4 linked regions of the Callithrix jacchus genome follow. The protein of the gene in region 2 interacts with the protein of the main gene of each other region in a pairwise test. Links are inferred from orthologs where the notes say so. Each region holds a gene or a part of one and is shown on either strand. Other genes may lie near its edges.

Region 1 (4,183 bases), on a different chromosome or scaffold from region 2:
TCAGGGGAAAAGAAAGGAAGAAAAAACGAAGAGGGAATAATAGAGTTCAAGTGGTTTAACTCTTACTAGATGGTACGCTAGAAACTAATAATATTTGTTGTTTACTAAGAGCCCGGCACTGTACTAAGTGATTTAATGTGACAACATATTTAATCCTCAAACTCCATCAATCAGTTGCTGTTCTTATCCCCATTCTAGAGATGAGGAATTTGAGACATAGAGAAGTTAAGTAATTTATCTATAATTCTAAGGCTAGAAAGCAGTGGAGATGGAATTTGCACCCAAGTAATCCAACTTCAGAGTTTATACTCCATAAGAAGTATGAGGGAGTCAGTGCCTTAGAAATACAAACTGGTAGAAATACATCTCTTCTTGACCCATTTTCCACCCGGGTTGGAGGTACCAAATCCCACCCAAAAGGTATCCCTCTTTGTGCAACACCTGAGCACTGTATTTTCTTCGACCCTTGTACACCCTTCCAAAAGAGCCTTCTCCAATCATCTCCAATACGTGGTACTTTTCCATGACAGAGGTTTCAGGATCTCTTAGAAGGAAAAACGTAGAGATGGTGGTAAAGAGCTATAGATCCAGGGACAGTTCCACAACATCTGGGAGGCCTAGTTCGGGCATGAGAAAGAAAAAATGTTAGCCACCTTGCCTTTTCCTCTTTTTCACAATAACGTAAGCCTCAAAAAAACATGGGAGGGTAGAATGGATGGAAAGATGATGAGATCTTGGAACAAACAGTGCGTCTCTTTGTAGTTCCTCCTGACTTTCAGCCTCCTGGCCCCAACCCAGCCCCACACCCACCTGACACCTGGTCTCCCTTCTCCCTCCACCCAGCTCGCCCACTCAACCCTGCTCTCTCAACCTAGCCTTTGCCCACTCAACCCTGTTCCTTCGAGTCTCCCCCAAGTTCCTGCCACTCCCAGCCTCCTCAGCACCCGCTCTCAGACCCCCTGGCCCGTGCGCTTCACAGGCCAGAGTCCCTCTCTCACCCCCAGCCTAGGAGCGTCCAAGCTCCTCAGACCGAGGGACAGATTCCCTGGCCTTTAGCCCCATTTATTCTGACTGCCTGAGTACTTTGCCTGACTTATAATTCTTCTCCACCCCCCCTCTCCCACCGATCTCTTTTGGCTCACTTTCTTAAATTTTACTCGCTAGAACCGATGAGAAGTTCAAAGGACAAAGGCGCTCAGAGGTGTGGGAGGGACAACGGATAGCACAAGGGCACTTCCTGGCATACTTCCGAACTGCCTCAAGGCCATCAGGCCCCGCTATGGACCCGGAATCTACGGTTGCCTAGAAACGACGCTAGCTGCCCACCTCTCTTAGTTTTCCGCCTTCGACTTCCCTAAGGGCATTTCCGGTTCCGGCTGCGGGCCGGAGAAGATATGGCGGCGTCAGCGTCTGCAGCTGCAGGGGAGGAGGACTGGTAACTTTGGGGGCATGGGCTTTGGCTGATGGCCTGGATTTAGTCCAGAGGCCTAGCGGCTGTCGCCGACAGTCTGTACAGCGGGCGTGTCGGGTGAAGCGAGGGATGAGGGATGGCAGAGATGCTGACATCTCCTCTGGGAGAGCTTCTGGACTGGGGAAGGGGAGGGTGGAGGGGCGCTGATCTGAGTGAGTGAAGACCCGGTCTGCGCCCGCCGGGCCAGTTCGGGCTTCTCCTTATCCGGTGCGATCCCCTTTCCTCCAGCCTCACACCATCCCTTTCTCTCCTCTTGAAATGAATTTTCTCAGGGGCTTTGGGGGAAGCCTGCTCGTCAGACCTCACCATCTCCCCTTCACCTTCTCGGAACCACTGCCCTCGAGCTCCGGTCCCCCTTTCCCCTTGGATCAGCCTTTTTCTGCCGACGCTTCCCTCAACCTTCTCTCTCCCAGACAGCACTAGTGAGGACGATTGTCTGAATAAAGCTTTACACCTCACATAAAGTCCCTCTAGTCCTTCTCTCAAGCATTCTTAACAAAAGACTGGAACATGGAAGGACTCTGGGATTTGAAAGTAGGGTAAATGTGGGTTAACTCTGTATTTTATTAGCTGTGTGATGCTAACCAGTCCACCTAGCATCTGTGAGTCAGTGTCCTCAGCTGTAAAAAAGTGGGTGTGGCATCTACCTCAGAATAGTTGAGAAGACCAAGATGGATTTGTAACATACTTGTCTGCTTTTTGTTTTTTGGGTTTGTTTGCTTGCTTTTTTTTTTAAATGTATTTATTTATTTTTGAGACAGGGTCTCACTCTCGCCCATACTAGTGTGCAGTGGTGCAGTTATTGCTCACTGCAGCCTTGACCTCCCCAGGCTCAGGTGATCCTCCTGCCTCAGCCTGCCGAGTAGCGAGACCACAGGTGCACGTCACCGTGGCCGGCTAATTTTTGTATTTTTTGTAGAGACAGAGTTTTGCCATGTTGGCTTGGCTGATCTTGAACCCCTGGGCTCAAGTGATCCTCCCACCTCAGTCTCCCAAGGTGCTGGAATTACAGGCGTGAGCCACCACGCCCAGCCTCCTTTTCATTAATAACTGAGATACAGGCACCTGGGAAGACTAAATGAGCCCCAAAGAAGTAAAGTAAGTTGCCAAAAGGTAGAAAATTATGACTAGAAATCCACATCTGTCTGGCTCCACACCTTAGGTTCTTTGTACTAGGACATTCTTCAGTGCCTGCCCCTCCCCCCACCATATTGCCACCACCTTACCACTATCCATCCCATCCAGGATCCACATAATTAACTAGGGTGGGCAAAGTATTGAAGGTCCACTTGACTGAGGCCACACCTCAGTGTTACATTGGTTCAGGGATCCCAGCTAGTACTGGCCTTTATTAAGACTATCTAGACTAGTGGTTTTTAAAGTGTTCAGGGAAACTTTTTTTTTTTTTAAGAGACAGAGTCTTACTTTGTCACCCAGGCTGGAGTAGTACAGTGGCGAGATCATGGCTAACTAAAGCCTTGACCTCTTGGGCTCCAGTGATTTTTCTGCCTCAGCCTCCCAAGTAGCTGGGACCACCGTGTCTAGCTAATTTATTATTTTTTGTAGAAACAGCATCTTGCTTTGTTGCCTAGGCTGGTCCTAGCCTCCCATCTCAGCCTAGCTCCTGGCCTCCCATCTCAGCCACCCAAAGTGCTGGGATAATTTATAGGCATGACCCGCACACTCACCTGTTTAGGGGGAACTTTTAAGATTCGAGGGAGACACCTTGAGCCATGGAGAGAGCAACAGTGAGTGCAGCAGCTTGTAGTACTGAGACTCCCACTCCCATATCAGTCAAAATAACACTGCTATCTGTGAGGTGTAAAGCTTTATATTTTATATTTTGAAGTTTCTGCCTAAGACTTAACAACACTGACATAGGTCCTGCTGGGGCAGCCTTACTCTTAGAATAAACAGGGAGTCGCGTAGGAAAGCAAAGTATGCATTTTTCCATATATCACCTGGGTAGAGCTGTAGACACAAACTCATCACTCAGCTTTAATTTCATTTCAATTGCTGTTCCTATGCTGAAGCATGTGTGTCCTCTGATTTACATCAGAACGATAGACCTAATCTCAACAGGCTGATCTAGATCAACTAGACAGCCAGGGTCATAAATACATCCAGAATACTCTAACTACCTCCCCCCCTCCCTCTTTCCTTTTAAGGGAGAAGGTTATATACGGACAGGAAAAAAAAGAGGACATAGCCTAGCTATTATAGCGCAGATATTATTAGGTACTTTATATAAACAAGTCACGTTTTATCTTCATAATGGCCCTAGAGAATAGGTGGTATTACCTATATGTGATAGACAGGATAACTTAAGCTTACGGAGAGGTCACTTCACAGATCACATAGCCAATAAGTGATTAGTACCTGTTACTAACTCTGAGGCTGCTGGCTCTTCATTACAACACAGCCTTTACACCACCCTAGACCTGTTGTGTTGAGGTTGGTATCTCCTTTAAGCAGGCTTGTGATGACTGGTGTTAACAGTGGGTATAGACAGTAGCCAAGGCACTGAGATCCACACTGGACAGTGATGTAGGGAAAGACTGGCGTAATATTGGTTAACGTTAATGCTAATAAATGGGTGCCATATTTCTAGACCAGAGAGTCAGCCATAAAGTGGAATGAAACTTAAACAGGGAGTCAGGAAACCTGGCTCTGGCCCCAGTTCCACCTATGTTAAGCCTTGGTTAGTCATTT
Region 2 (4,119 bases):
GGTTAGGAGTTCGGCTGGGTCGTGGGATGCTTGTTTTCCTGGTTACTGGATATGCCATGGGCTTTATATCTTGGGTTGTCCTGTGGTAACTGAAGCCACTGTTGCGGTGGAAAATGATGGCAGTTTGAATGAGATAATTTAGAGTGACCTGTGGAAATCTGAGGCTGTGTCCTTAACGTACAAGACCTTGTATATGTGGCACTGTTGTATGGCACATATCTCTTTAGTTCCCTTCAACTGAAATGACAAATAGGTGAGAAACTAAATCGTAATTTGATGGCCTAATATTAAAAAAAATTAATTGGACAAAAATGCTACATAAGGAACAATTCAGAAGAATTGCTGATTATTTCAAAACTATTATCTGAATAGTATTTATATGTAGCTAAAGAAAGCACTGCGATCCCAGAACTTTCCATCCAATTTCCAAAAACCAAACCTTATATATAATGTAAAATGACACCCAAAATTCTAAATCCAGTCTAATTCAGTAGTATATAGCTTATTCCCAGTGATTTCTCACATTTGCAAGCCCGTTGCACGTTGGTTTCATGTGTCACCAAAACCTTTGTATTACTCTTATAAAACCACATCACTTTGTATAAAAAGTGACTGGAAGAATTTAATATTGTAAAACTGCACGTGCCTCGCGTGACCTGAGCAGAAAACTCCTGGTTTGGGATTTTCTCACAGGCGTGCCTAAACTGACCTCTACTCCTAGCAGGTAAATTGCTAGAAGAAGCAAGTGTCAGCCCAAAGAAAACCCCTGTTGTGTGCTTTTTTTTTTCTCTTTAAACTGATCGCTTTTTAGGTGGAGTTCCCGCTGCATTCTCTAGACCAAAGTCCTTGCTTGCCACCAGATTACCATCTTTTTCACCAATTTGCCACCTCCCTACCCTTCTCCTTTCCAAAAGCCCTCACTGGAAAGAACTTTCTCTCTTGACCCCCCTATTCCATCTAGTTCCAAACGCTCCCAGAGCCTCCCACCTCCGTCGGCTTCCCCTCTCCCGCCTAGAATCCAGGTTCCCAAACCACTTAAGAGGAAATTCACACCCCTCGCCCCCTTCCCGGGCGTCCGGAGGAGACGCAGGGGTGGGGGTGCGGGGGGAGCAGGGTTTTCTGGGGTCTCCTGAGTCTTTCTCGCGCACCCTCAGGAGGTGTTGCAGGGGGAGAGGAGCGCGGGTGGGTGGGACCGGGCCGGGTGGGGGAGGGGTGAGGGCGAGGAGGAGGAGGAGGCGGCGGCGGCGGAGGAGTGGTGTGTGTGCGAGCGTGTGTGGCTGGGGGAAGCCATTGCCTGTTTAATAGTTGCTGTTGCTGCACTTCCGCTTCTCTCCCAGCGAGAGAGAGACACGAGTGGCCAGGCCCAGCCGCAGCCGCAGCAGCAGCCGCCGCGGCGGCACGGAGGAGCCAGACACAAAGAGAGGTACGGGGATCCCCCCAGCGGCCCGCCGCCCCCCGGCCGCGCCGCCGGCCTCGGGGACACCCCTCGCCGCCGTCCCCGACCCGCACCGCCCCGGCCGCCGGGGCGCCGGACACGGGGCCGGGGGAGGGGTGGTGGCGGAGAGGGGCTGGGGAGCCCCAGGGGTCCCGGGCCCGCCCGCGGGGGATGGGCAGGGACCCCGGGCCGCGTGGGTTGCGGGGCCGCCCGCGTCGGGGCTGGGGGTCATTGTGGCTCGAACTGTCAGCGCTGCCCCAGGAGCCCCCCCACTGGCCGCCGAGGGGGCCGGGAGCGGGGGTGGGGGGGAGTTGGGGGAGCCCTGTTTTCCCCAGGGGCGCGGGCTCCTGGGGATTTACCCCTCCGGGGCGGAAGGGCTCATTGTTATTTCTTCGCTGCGGAGGCCGAGCCCCCCCCACCCCACGCCGCAGCCCCTATCCCCCTCCACGAGTGGCGAACGGGCGTGTGCTCCGGACCCCCGCCCGGCTGCGCAGCCCTGAGCCGGGCGGCCCAGAGGCAGGCCGCCCGGGAGGGGCGTCGGGGCGCGGCGCGGGGGGGGGGGGGCTCGGGCCTCGTCGCCCCTGCCCCCCGCCGGCCTCTCCCTTCCCCCACCCGGGCACCCGTTCCCCGCCTCCGTCCCCCTGTTTCGGCTTCCTCTCTTACTCCTTCCCGCCCCTCCTCTCTTCCCGACCTCGCCAAACTCCGTTCGTGGCCCCACAGTCTCACCCGGGCCACCGGTCCCCCACGACCCCCGGAAAGCGTACAAAAACAGCCCCGAGGCCGGCCGGCCGCCGGGACCTTCCCTCCCTGCCCCGCTGCGGCGCCCCGCGCCCCCACCCTGCCCTTCTTCGCCTCCTGGTTACTCCCTCCCTGCCCTGCGGAGAGCCCCGGGGGGTGAGGGAGGGGCTGCTCTCCGAGCTCCAGACCGTTTTCCCACCGCGTTCCCTACTTGGGGCCAAAAATAAACAAACAAGCCGCGTCCGATTTGCAAAAGCCTTAATGGGCCTGCAGACTTTGAAAAGCGAGTGGAGGGCGGTGGGCGGCCGCGTGCGCCCCTGGTCAATGCCCTCCTGACAGCACCCGAGTTCCTTATTTACACTGGCTGCATGGTTTGTGTGTTTCTGTTTTGTTTCCCTCCCCCTGCAGGGGCTGTTTGCGGGGTGGGGTGGGGGGTTCGATATGTCGGATGACGATTCGAGGGCCAGCACCAGCTCCTCCTCATCTTCATCTTCCAACCAGCAAACCGAGAAAGAAACAAACACCCCCAAGAAGAAGGAGAGTAAAGTCAGCATGAGCAAAAACTCCAAACTCCTCTCCACCAGCGCCAAGAGGTACCGTACTCTTTTTTCCACAGGCTTCCTATTTTCCGAACTGCCTCTTGCTGCATTTGGTCTGCCTCCCAACGAGGATAGCTTAAACGCTCCTCACGGTTTGTGTGTTCTTAAAAATGAAAGAAGGGCCTTGGAAACCCTAATTATTTTCTCTATTGCTGCTTCTGTTTTTTAAAATCATTGCCCACATGCAGCTGTTGCGGCTTGGCTCTCGCTTTTCTCGCCGAAGTTTGTAACAATCCTCATCTACTTTTATTAGCGAGCCCCAAATCTGATTTCAGATTCCTTGTCCCACTTAATGGTTAATCTGTGACCTTCCCCAAGGCCATCATCCTGTTTCTTAATTACTAATAACCTGCTCAGACAACTGCATCGAAATGGATTCTATGACCATTTTACCTTCTTTTCACCTGTTGCATGGATGATCTTTTTGGAATAGAGCTTTCTCCACAAATTGTAAAAGGAATAAGAAACTCATATGAGCAGGTACAAAATTTCGTAGGTGAAGACAGATATTCTCTGATGGAATTTAAAGAGATTTTTCTGAGAGTTGAGACGAATGAATCAGTAAGTGATGTAAAATGGTTATTGTAGGTTATTTTTGTGATTCTCTTTGAGAACTTCAGTTTACCAAATTTCAGGGAGACTTTTTTTTCATGCTATTTGCTGTCCTCATGCTGTAAAAATGCTACTTTGCCTTATTTTTTTCCAATTTAAGCTGTGTCTCTTTTTCTTTATTCTTTTCCTCTTACAGCTCTTGGAGGTAGCTACTTTTTACACCTGCCATTCTTCAGTAATATCCTCTGATCCCCATGACACTTAAAATAATCTTTAGTAGATTCCTAGGAACTCCGAGACACCTTTTTAGAAATCCTTCTGCTCTCAGAGTTAGACAGTTAAAAAGGTGGCAAAACGGGAACATAGTAGGGAGTCCGAATGGTGGGTTAGGTAGAGAAACCCTTAAAAATTTTTAATGTAAAGTGGAACATGAGACTTTAGATCTGTCCACTGAGTAGTGAGCCAGGAAGTCAGGGTTTGAGGGTTTGTTCTGTCATTCTGCCTGACTTGTAATTTGAAAATTTGGCAGTGTTTTGGTGACCTAACCATGGGCTGATGGAGTGACTTTTAAAAAATAGTGTGGAGGTCTTAGGTGCCTCTGCAAGATTGTTCTCATTTTTATAGGTTTGGTTTGATCGTAAATCTTCCCAGGAGGCCTAACTGACCCTCACTGATTAGCCCTGTTTGGTTCTCCTGGAACCTGGCATCCACCCTGCCCACTTGGGATGGGCCTTTTCGCAGCACTGCCCTCCACCTCAAGCCTCTAGGCTCCCTGATCCTCATTTAGCTTTTGGC
Region 3 (4,187 bases), on a different chromosome or scaffold from region 2:
TCTGAAGAATTCAACTATTGAACCTGGAAGAAAGTATTCCAAGTTATCAAAAGAAACCATGAAAGTATGTAGCTGCAATGTTCATAACGTTAAGATCAAAAAACTTAAACCACGCAAAATATTTAGAAATCTCAGCTCCCTATTTCCTATCAAAAAGTTAAAGAATTTTAGATATCTTCTCTAAACGTACTAAAGATCCAAAAGTAAATTCCTTTTGACTTCAGAGGGCTGAAACAAAAAATTCAGTAACTGCAGGCAAAAAGTATGGAGGGGAGAAAATTACTTAAGAAAATATTTCGTGAGACAAATACCGTTTTAAGAGAAAAGATGTATTAAAATCACTTACTCCCTTCTACCAAACAGCCCTCCCTTAGAACCCACTGCTTACAATTCAGCCAAGTATGACTGCCAAGAGTTTCTAAACCTGTGTTCGGATTGTTCAAAGTGGAAAGCTTCTCCACCAGTGTATTACAAGAACAAAAAGTATATTTTTTATAGTTAAAGATCAACTATTAAATACACTCCTACTGATAAACTAAATGTAAGTGATTTAAAAAAAAAAAACAAAAAAACCTCAAGTTGTAACTTAGGGCAAAGTTTGCTATATAAATTGCTTGCAATTCTAAGAGCAAGTATTTATTTAGTTTCCCCAAATTGGGGGTTAAGTGGCTGAAAGAAAAAAGAAGTTTCATAAACAGCTTTTCTAACCTTAGTTTACATTTGGCAAAACACATCATTTATCACAATCAAGTGAACATTATGCCAAATGTAAAGATTCCAAATTTTACAGGTAAAATTTCGTAAAAATTACAATAACCCAATAATGGACTGCCACATGAGACTGTCACTGATTTTAAACATTTTTACATACACCTTAAGAACACAATGTCATGTATAGCATGTTTAAACTTGAGATATATGTATTTGAACAATGTAATCCTGGTTGCTTTTCTGATAATTCTTTATCTCACAGTGGTCTGAGTATAGCAAGGGCTCCTTCTTCCCATTACACCATTAGTCCAAACATCTTAATTTTGCTTTCACTAAAACAAGGACATCATAAGCTACCTCTTGCTTCCAGTTTCTGCTTTTTACTGTAGGTAACAATGACAGTGAGTTCCACCAAACACATGTATGTGCACAGCTTTGTCATTCTTTTCCCAGCCCTTCTTTTCTGGAAAAAATACGAGGAACTTAGGTTTACATAAAAATATCGATTTTTCTTTTGCATACATACCGAATGGATTTTCAAAAGAAGACAATTTATTCAGATAACTATCATCCTACAAATGTCAACAGAACTTCCCAAATCCAAAAATAATAACTAAATCTGATATTAACTAGAGAGGAAATTTCCACTGCAATCATAAATAAAATGTCATCGATTAAGCTGAACATCAATAAAACTCAGTCAAAAATCAAGTCTCAATACAGAACCCACATGCAATCAAAATACCACTTATATTTGCTAGCGGAGTTCACAGATGAATTCTGTATGTGCGCCAGATTTCGCTTATTTTGAAATGCTTGGGTTAATATTTATTGGTATAAATCAGAGCCCACACCAAGTGTCCTGGGGAGAGGCAATCCAAAGAACGCTTAGTAGCATGGTAAAACCGGTCCAAAATGAAAAGAAGGAAAGAAAGAAAGAAGCCACGTCCTAACACGACGGAGCGAATAAGCGACAACTAGATCACTGAAAGCAAAACGAAAACGTTCCTCTCCTGAGTAGCCTGAATAAAAGATCTTTACTCATAACGTTTAATAGTATCCTACCTCACTTCATTCACTTTCCAACTTCCTTTACTTTTCAAGGGCCACCACGGGGCATCCCTTTTTCTGGAAGTGTATGTTGAAAGGATCTGTACAAGAAAGAAGGAAGGAACCGACAATTCTCAAGAAGGCTGAGAAACAGGTGGGTTAGCAGGAGCAGAAGCATAATCTAGATACTTAAGGGGCAGCTTTAAGATGACAGATGTGGTAGAAGGAAAGACTGCGAATCGGAAGAAGCTCTAGTGTGGCAGATACACTGTGGGCTGATTGCAAGCACCAGAGGGGGGCAAAGGCTAACTCCAGAGTGGTAGCAGTGGAGCAAAAAACAAGCATCAGGACGAGTGGGCAATGAGCAGCGGGATTAATGAGCAGCAGCAGCAGCAACACGGGTCAGAGTGGAAGTGATGGCTTTGGTCTAGAGAGACGGGAGCCAGTGGGGAAGGACGTCAGACAGGGAAAAGGGGGTTGGGGAAACAGGGAGGACTGAGACCTAAGAATCCTGCCTCTATAAAAATGTAGGGGGGAAAGCTGGAGACCAAAAGACGCCTCGGCTCCCCAATTAAAGAAATTCTCGAAGGAGAGTCGCGGCTTGCCGCCGCGCTGCCTTCGGACCCGCTCCCTTTTCCTGATGGTGACTGCTGTGGCGTAAAGGGGAGAAGGAGGAAGAGGAGGAAAAAGACTGAGGAGGAGGAGGGTGAAGATGAGGCGGGGGGTGGGGAGAAAGGGGGGTGCGGCCTGTACAGTCCCAGAGAAGCCTCCGCTCTCTCGTAGCCGGTCAGCCCCGGGTTTCCCCTAAGCCCAGCCCCGCATAGACTCACCCGCCTGCCTTGCCTCGCTTTTCCCTCAGCCGACTCCACGCGCTGCCGCGTCCTCACAAGAAACCACCGAACGAGCGTCGGGGAAAAAACTCTTCAGCACCGGGCCTGATTGCTTCAGCGAGTCCGACCTTTACGGCTGAGAGAGAGACTCTCAGCTTTCGGTGGGTTCCACAGCCAGACGGGCCACCATCTTACATTAGGGTAAGACTCCTCCGGTCTCCCGTGCGCAGGCGCACGCCGATCGGCTAGGAGGGGCGGGGGAGGGGAGGGAGGAGCGGCGGGCGGCTGAGTGGGAGGTTGCGGCGGCCGCTCCCGCAGCATCCTGGGAGTTGGAGTCCTCGGAGGGTAACCTCCCAGGAGCACGCCGGGAGTTGAAGTCCTCTCTCAGAGGGCGGAGGGGATCGCCCACCTCACGTGGTTGCTGGACTGCTGCCTTTCTTCGTGTTTTCTTTCCTTCTCTGCGCGCGTATGCTGCTTCAATGTCATTTGGTCGGCGGCCTTCGCTAATGATTCCGTGTCCTCGGTGTTGTGGAAATGTGCAACTCCAAAACTGGGACGAGGCTAAACAATTTTTCGGGGAGTTCGGAATGTTTCTTCTCTGCCCCGCCCACCAGAAATATGTGAACGGAGCGGAATAGAGGTGAAGGCAGGTTGGGGGTACACAGAGCGCGGGATTTGATCTAGAGTGAGAATTTTACACAGACTTGATGTCTGTTTGCGAACAAGGAACAAACAGATGCCTGTTTAATTCATTTCCCTGTCCTTTGCGCATTTGGGGGCCACCACCCTTGATCCCTCCTCACTGTAAAATCTCCAGTGAAGAAATAACCTAAATTGTTCTGTGCAGATTGCACAGGAGAACGGAAGGCCTGTGTAGTTAGAATAACGTGCTTCTGTTGGTGTGAATTTGAGAACTTTCGGACCTCAGTGCAAATTAATGTTAGTTCGGTGTCCTGCCAGCACAGCTGTGTGCAAGTACACAAACCCTACACACGTCGGCACATCCCCAAGAACAATGAATGCAGCCGCAGTCCCTGTAAGCACCCAGGAATCTTCAGTCACTAAAGTCAGTCGATGTGCTGGTAGCTCCCTTTTGCCTCCCAGAACTCTGGTGGAAGTGGCGCTCGAAGCAGTAATTTTTGCTTATTGCACGTGTTCTTCACCCATTCATAACGGCAAATAGTGAACTCTTCCCGGCTGCCTGGTACTCTTCTATACACAATGGTGAGCAAAATTGACAAAATTCCCTGTCCCCATTCTAGTGGGTGTGTTGGGATGGGGGAGAGGAGAAGGGAGGCATTGTTATTATTATTTTTTGTTTGTTTAAAGACGAGGTTTCACCGTGTTGGTCAGGCTGATCTTGAACTCCCGACCTCAGGTTATCTGCCCGCCTTGGCCTCCAAAGTGCTTCGATTACAGATGTTAGCCACCACGCCCGGCCAAGGGAGACATTATTTTTTAAAATACATTATTAAAATGTATGTCATAACCTATTTTAAATACTTAAAACAGGAAGGGGGTAGGAAAATAAGCTGCAATTTTAAATCTACAAACTTAATTTCATAATGAGATGCCCTCATTTTTTCTCTTTTTTTT
Region 4 (4,051 bases), on a different chromosome or scaffold from region 2:
ATCTTTTGATAACTGCCAAATGCAAATTTTCACTTAAAAAAATATTAAAAACCAGTTTGTCCTTCATTTTCGCACTGATCACCAATTCTCAGAAACTGCCTTTTAAATTCTTCAATGTGGACTACAGCACCTTCAACTGTTAGATCAGTTGGGATCAAATCACTCTAAGGACAGTTCTTTTACTCAAAAGCAAATGATGTTTAAAAATGGCCCAATTTTAGGAAGGATGAATATATTTAATTAAGAAGCAAAAATTACTTTAAAACAAGATAGCTAATTATAAGTTAAGCGTTGTTCCATATTGAATGTGCAAAGCGTTGCTAAATAGGAAAAACTAAACAAGACACTCCTATTTTTAACTTATGCTGGAGTGAATGTTGATAGTACAAACATCAGAACAGATAAATTACTAAGTATTCCACTTTACTAAGTCTCTACTCAAAGTGCCTACGTTTATAAATATGAGTAAAAGAGGCACAAAAATATAAGGGATGGTGTTTTCGCTGCTCGTCTGTGCTCAGCTGTGAATTTCTCTAATATCATATACATAATGCAATGACATGGGAATGCTTATCTATCTATACTTCTATTTATTTTCATAAAGCAGGGAGGTGGTCCTGATTCATTTACTATTAGCGTTTTCAATAAAGCAGATCAGCATAAAACATAACTGAAGAGGCAGAATTCATTTTCCCCAAGACAATGCACCCTTCCTCCTCTTTCTATAGAAGAGCACATCATTTTGCTATTAAAAATGTCCATTTTTCACAACTGACTTTTCCTTAACTCTAGTCAATACCGCTCTTCAAAAGAACCAAGCCTACCTTGTAGGCAGAGTTGCAAAATTTTTATTTCCTTAAGAAACTCATCCATTTCTAAAATGCTGTCCAAATTAAGCAGGACTCACATTAACTGTTATTTGTATGTAACCAAACATTTATACAATTTGAAACTGAATAAACATAATAATGCTGTCATACATATTAAAAAATTAAATAATTGGAAGTACAGTAAGTCTAATTTTTTAAGTCTAAATTTTTAAGTGGGGTTTAAAAACAAACTTTTCATTAACGCATTCATCCAATTAAACTGACAAAGTGGGACTGACACAGATTTAAGGATTACAGCTTTATATTAAAAGTCGGCCCAAAGATGGTAACTCAATGTTCATTTGAGAACCTTTGACTTTTGGCCTTTAAAAGCTGTTCCTCACTGGAGTCCCCAGATATAACTACATTTAGCAACGTATCTCCTCCTGACTTCCTGGTACTAAAAGCCACAACCTCAAGGGCTGTTTCGTTGGTTGGTTGTAAAACAACATTTGCTCCAGTCACCTCACTGGAAAATGGACCTTCTCTATTGGGGAGCCGCAGAGGTGAGGGTGCTTACGATGTTTAAAAACAAAACCACGCTACGCAGTACCAGCACCGCAGGTGTTAACTGCCGGCTTTCTTCCCAGGATGGAGACGCGCGCCAGCCGGGCCGGGCAACAGCCCCCAGGCGCCCCGGCCGAAGGAGAAAAGGAGAAGGGTAAAAATAGCCGGCGGCCGCTGCCCACGTGCAGCCGCGGGAGGGCCGGGCGCAAACGCGCGGAGAAGGGGCCGTACCTCCAAACATGTGCGGCGAGAGGTGAGCTGGTAAGGAGCCGATCACCAGACGCGGCCCGCCGGGGCTCCCGCCTGCCGGCCGGTCCCTGCCGCCGCCGCCGTCCTCGGGGCTGCTGTGCACCGAGTCCTGCGAGCCGTACGGGCCGCTGCTGCTGTTCGGGATGCTGAAGGAGGACTGCGCCGCGCGAGCCCCCGACGCCACGCTCCCCACGGCTCCGCCAAGGGAGCGGCTGCGCGGGGCCGGGGCTACCGGGGCCGCCGAGGCCGCTGCGGCGCCGCCCGAGGCGCTGGGCTGGTGCGCGCCGGGCACCTGAGCCGGGAACCTCCCCGCGGCGGCGGCCCGAGCGCCGCCGCCGCCTCCGCCCGCGGTCCCATTGGCCCCTCCACTGCTGCTGGAAGGCAGATCCGAGCCCGAGTACGCGCGGGTGCGGCCGTTAGCAGCGGCCGGGCCGCTCTGCTTGGCGCCCATGTCCGCCCTGCCCCGGGCCGGGCCCGCGCGCAACGCCCGGAGCTCCGGGAGGGTGGGAGCGAGGGCAGAAGCGTGAGGGCAGGGCCGAGGCGCCGCGGCCTGCCCAGAGAGGTCCCCGTACGTCCAGGTCCGCCGCCCGGCGCCCCGAGGGGCAGTCGGAGCTCTGGGCGCTCTTCTCCAGGCGGTGGGCGAGGCCGGCGGCCTGACGCGGGCGCAGGAGACGAGGGGACGCGAAGAGGAAGGGAATCCGGCTGCGGGCACCGCTCGCAAGCTCCAGCGGGAAGAGGCGGCTCAGGTGGACGTGCGGCTGCCGCTGGTTTCGGTTCTGGTGCGCCACGACGGGCCGCTGCCGCTCTCTGCCGCCGCGCTCGGCGCCCCGGGCCTCGGCACCGCCTCCTCTCGGGCGGCCGCTGGTACCGCCGCCATCCTACGGCTCACACGGCAGCAGGCGGCTGAGTGGGAGGTGCCCGCCCAGACTTCGCCGAGGCCACCTTCCCTCCTCCCCCAGCCACCCAACTGTTATTAACGGAGAAAGAGGAAAAACGGGTGGCGCGCGAGGAGAGGACGAAGAATGGGAGGGAGGGGTGGCGCGCGCTTCCCGGCAACCGTCGCCTCGCTCCCCCGTGAAGGAGGGGCCGGGCTGGCGACAGGATCTGAGCTGCGAAGGTGGGGGTGCCAAAGAGGGGAGGAGGTTCCTGGCCTTCGCGCCGGAAGGCCGCGGAACGGCTCGGCGGCAGGGTGCGCCCGGCCCTTGTGTTTGGGTCGCGCTCGGTGACCCCGCCCCCGCCCCCTCGCGCCGCCTGGACGATTGGCTCCCGCCGGCCTGGCTCCGCCTCCCCCGGCCGCGGCCTGCCCGCCCCGGCTCCGCCTCGCCTAGGTACCGCGGTGCTGTAGGTGCCGCCACCCGCGGACTCGTTGATGGACAGGTCTCTCGCCCTGCCCTCCCAGCCAGGGCGCGCCCTCGCCTCCACCGCGGGGCCTACGCCGTTAGGAGGGACGGACCCGGTGCGCCAACCAGAAGGCGGCCCCTCCTCCCGCACGTGGCCGGGCGACGCTGGAGGAGCCAGTGTCCGCTGCAGCTTTTCCTGGCAGGGGGCGTGAATGGCTGTATCCTGTGCCCAGAGCCATTTGCTTTCGGTGGGTGTTGGTGTTACACACTGATTTAAAAAAAACACAGAAGCCACAAGCCAGCTTGATCTGAATTAGACTTACTCATGGAACACCAACCCGGGAGGAAGCGTGGAGTTGGAAGAAATCAGGATAATCCAGCTTGACCCTCCGTGGTAGGGCAAAAACCGTGGTGCCAGGAACGCTGCACCTGACTCATGAAACCTAGGATTTAGGCGCAACACCAAAGTATGTGTAATGAGCAAATTATTTTACCTTTTACCTTTTTGGGCTTTAGGTTTGTTTTTATTTTTGTTTTGAGACGGAGTCTCACTCAGTCACCCAGGCTAGAGTGCAGTAGTGCTGTGTCGACTCACTGCCACTGCAACTTCCGCCTCCCGGGTTCGAGCGATTCTCCTGCCTCAGCCTCCAGAGTAGCTCGGATTATAGGAACGTGCCACCACGCCTGGCTAATTTTTGTATTTTTAGTAGTGACGGGGTTTCACCATGTTGGCCAGGCTGGTCTCGAACTCCTGTCCTCAAGTGATCCACCCGCCTCCGCCTCCCAAAGTGTTGGGATTACAGGCATAAGCTACCGCACCCTGCTGACTTTAGGTTTCTTACCTAAACTGTTTGGTTAAATTCTAGGGTACCCGCATCTTTAAGATCCTATAATTTCTCTAAAATGGAGTGTAATAAAATTTTCCTCAGTGCATTCCTCGGTGTTCGTGTGGTCTCTCCGTGGCAGAATGGGGTCTGGATACCCAGGGAACAGCCTGCTCTGAGGCTCCCATTTTGAAAATGTCTAGTCTCTCTACATATCCTCACCTGAAAATAATAGCAAGTGGTGTTTTGTAAAACTACAGAA

The links. The genes of interacting proteins can lie anywhere in the genome.
Region 1: the proteins of UBE2E1 (region 2) and RNF25 interact in binary tests that used the Homo sapiens proteins (3 or more experiments, as listed by UniProt). The link is inferred for Callithrix jacchus from reciprocal best matches to the Homo sapiens genes UBE2E1 and RNF25.
Region 3: the proteins of UBE2E1 (region 2) and CNOT4 interact in a two-hybrid assay, tested with the Homo sapiens proteins (2 studies listed by BioGRID). The link is inferred for Callithrix jacchus from reciprocal best matches to the Homo sapiens genes UBE2E1 and CNOT4.
Region 4: the proteins of UBE2E1 (region 2) and ZNRF2 interact in a two-hybrid assay, tested with the Homo sapiens proteins (2 studies listed by BioGRID). The link is inferred for Callithrix jacchus from reciprocal best matches to the Homo sapiens genes UBE2E1 and ZNRF2.

What each region holds. Positions count from the first base shown.
Region 1 is NC_133507.1:140,408,433-140,412,615, reverse strand, and holds the start of RNF25 (E3 ubiquitin-protein ligase RNF25), read left to right. Parts: upstream 1-1,378; 5' UTR 1,379-1,394; coding exon 1,395-1,435; intron 1,436-4,183. Other genes in the region: STK36 (serine/threonine-protein kinase 36), read right to left, coding at 442-525. UniProt on the Homo sapiens protein: E3 ubiquitin-protein ligase that plays a key role in the RNF14-RNF25 translation quality control pathway, a pathway that takes place when a ribosome has stalled during translation, and which promotes ubiquitination and degradation of translation factors on stalled ribosomes.
Region 2 is NC_133518.1:62,152,690-62,156,808, forward strand, and holds the start of UBE2E1 (ubiquitin-conjugating enzyme E2 E1), read left to right. Parts: upstream 1-1,316; 5' UTR 1,317-1,423; intron 1,424-2,581; 5' UTR 2,582-2,614; coding exon 2,615-2,766; intron 2,767-4,119. UniProt on the Homo sapiens protein: Accepts ubiquitin from the E1 complex and catalyzes its covalent attachment to other proteins. Catalyzes the covalent attachment of ISG15 to other proteins. Mediates the selective degradation of short-lived and abnormal proteins.
Region 3 is NC_133512.1:111,770,562-111,774,748, reverse strand, and holds the start of CNOT4 (CCR4-NOT transcription complex subunit 4), read right to left. Parts: upstream 2,806-4,187; 5' UTR 2,592-2,805; intron 1,863-2,591; exon of another isoform or gene 1,777-1,862; intron 1-1,776. UniProt on the Homo sapiens protein: Has E3 ubiquitin ligase activity, promoting ubiquitination and degradation of target proteins. Involved in activation of the JAK/STAT pathway. Catalyzes ubiquitination of methylated RBM15.
Region 4 is NC_133512.1:27,932,133-27,936,183, forward strand, and holds the start of ZNRF2 (E3 ubiquitin-protein ligase ZNRF2), read right to left. Parts: upstream 2,806-4,051; 5' UTR 2,077-2,805; coding exon 1,608-2,076; intron 1-1,607. UniProt on the Homo sapiens protein: E3 ubiquitin-protein ligase that plays a role in the establishment and maintenance of neuronal transmission and plasticity. Ubiquitinates the Na(+)/K(+) ATPase alpha-1 subunit/ATP1A1 and thereby influences its endocytosis and/or degradation.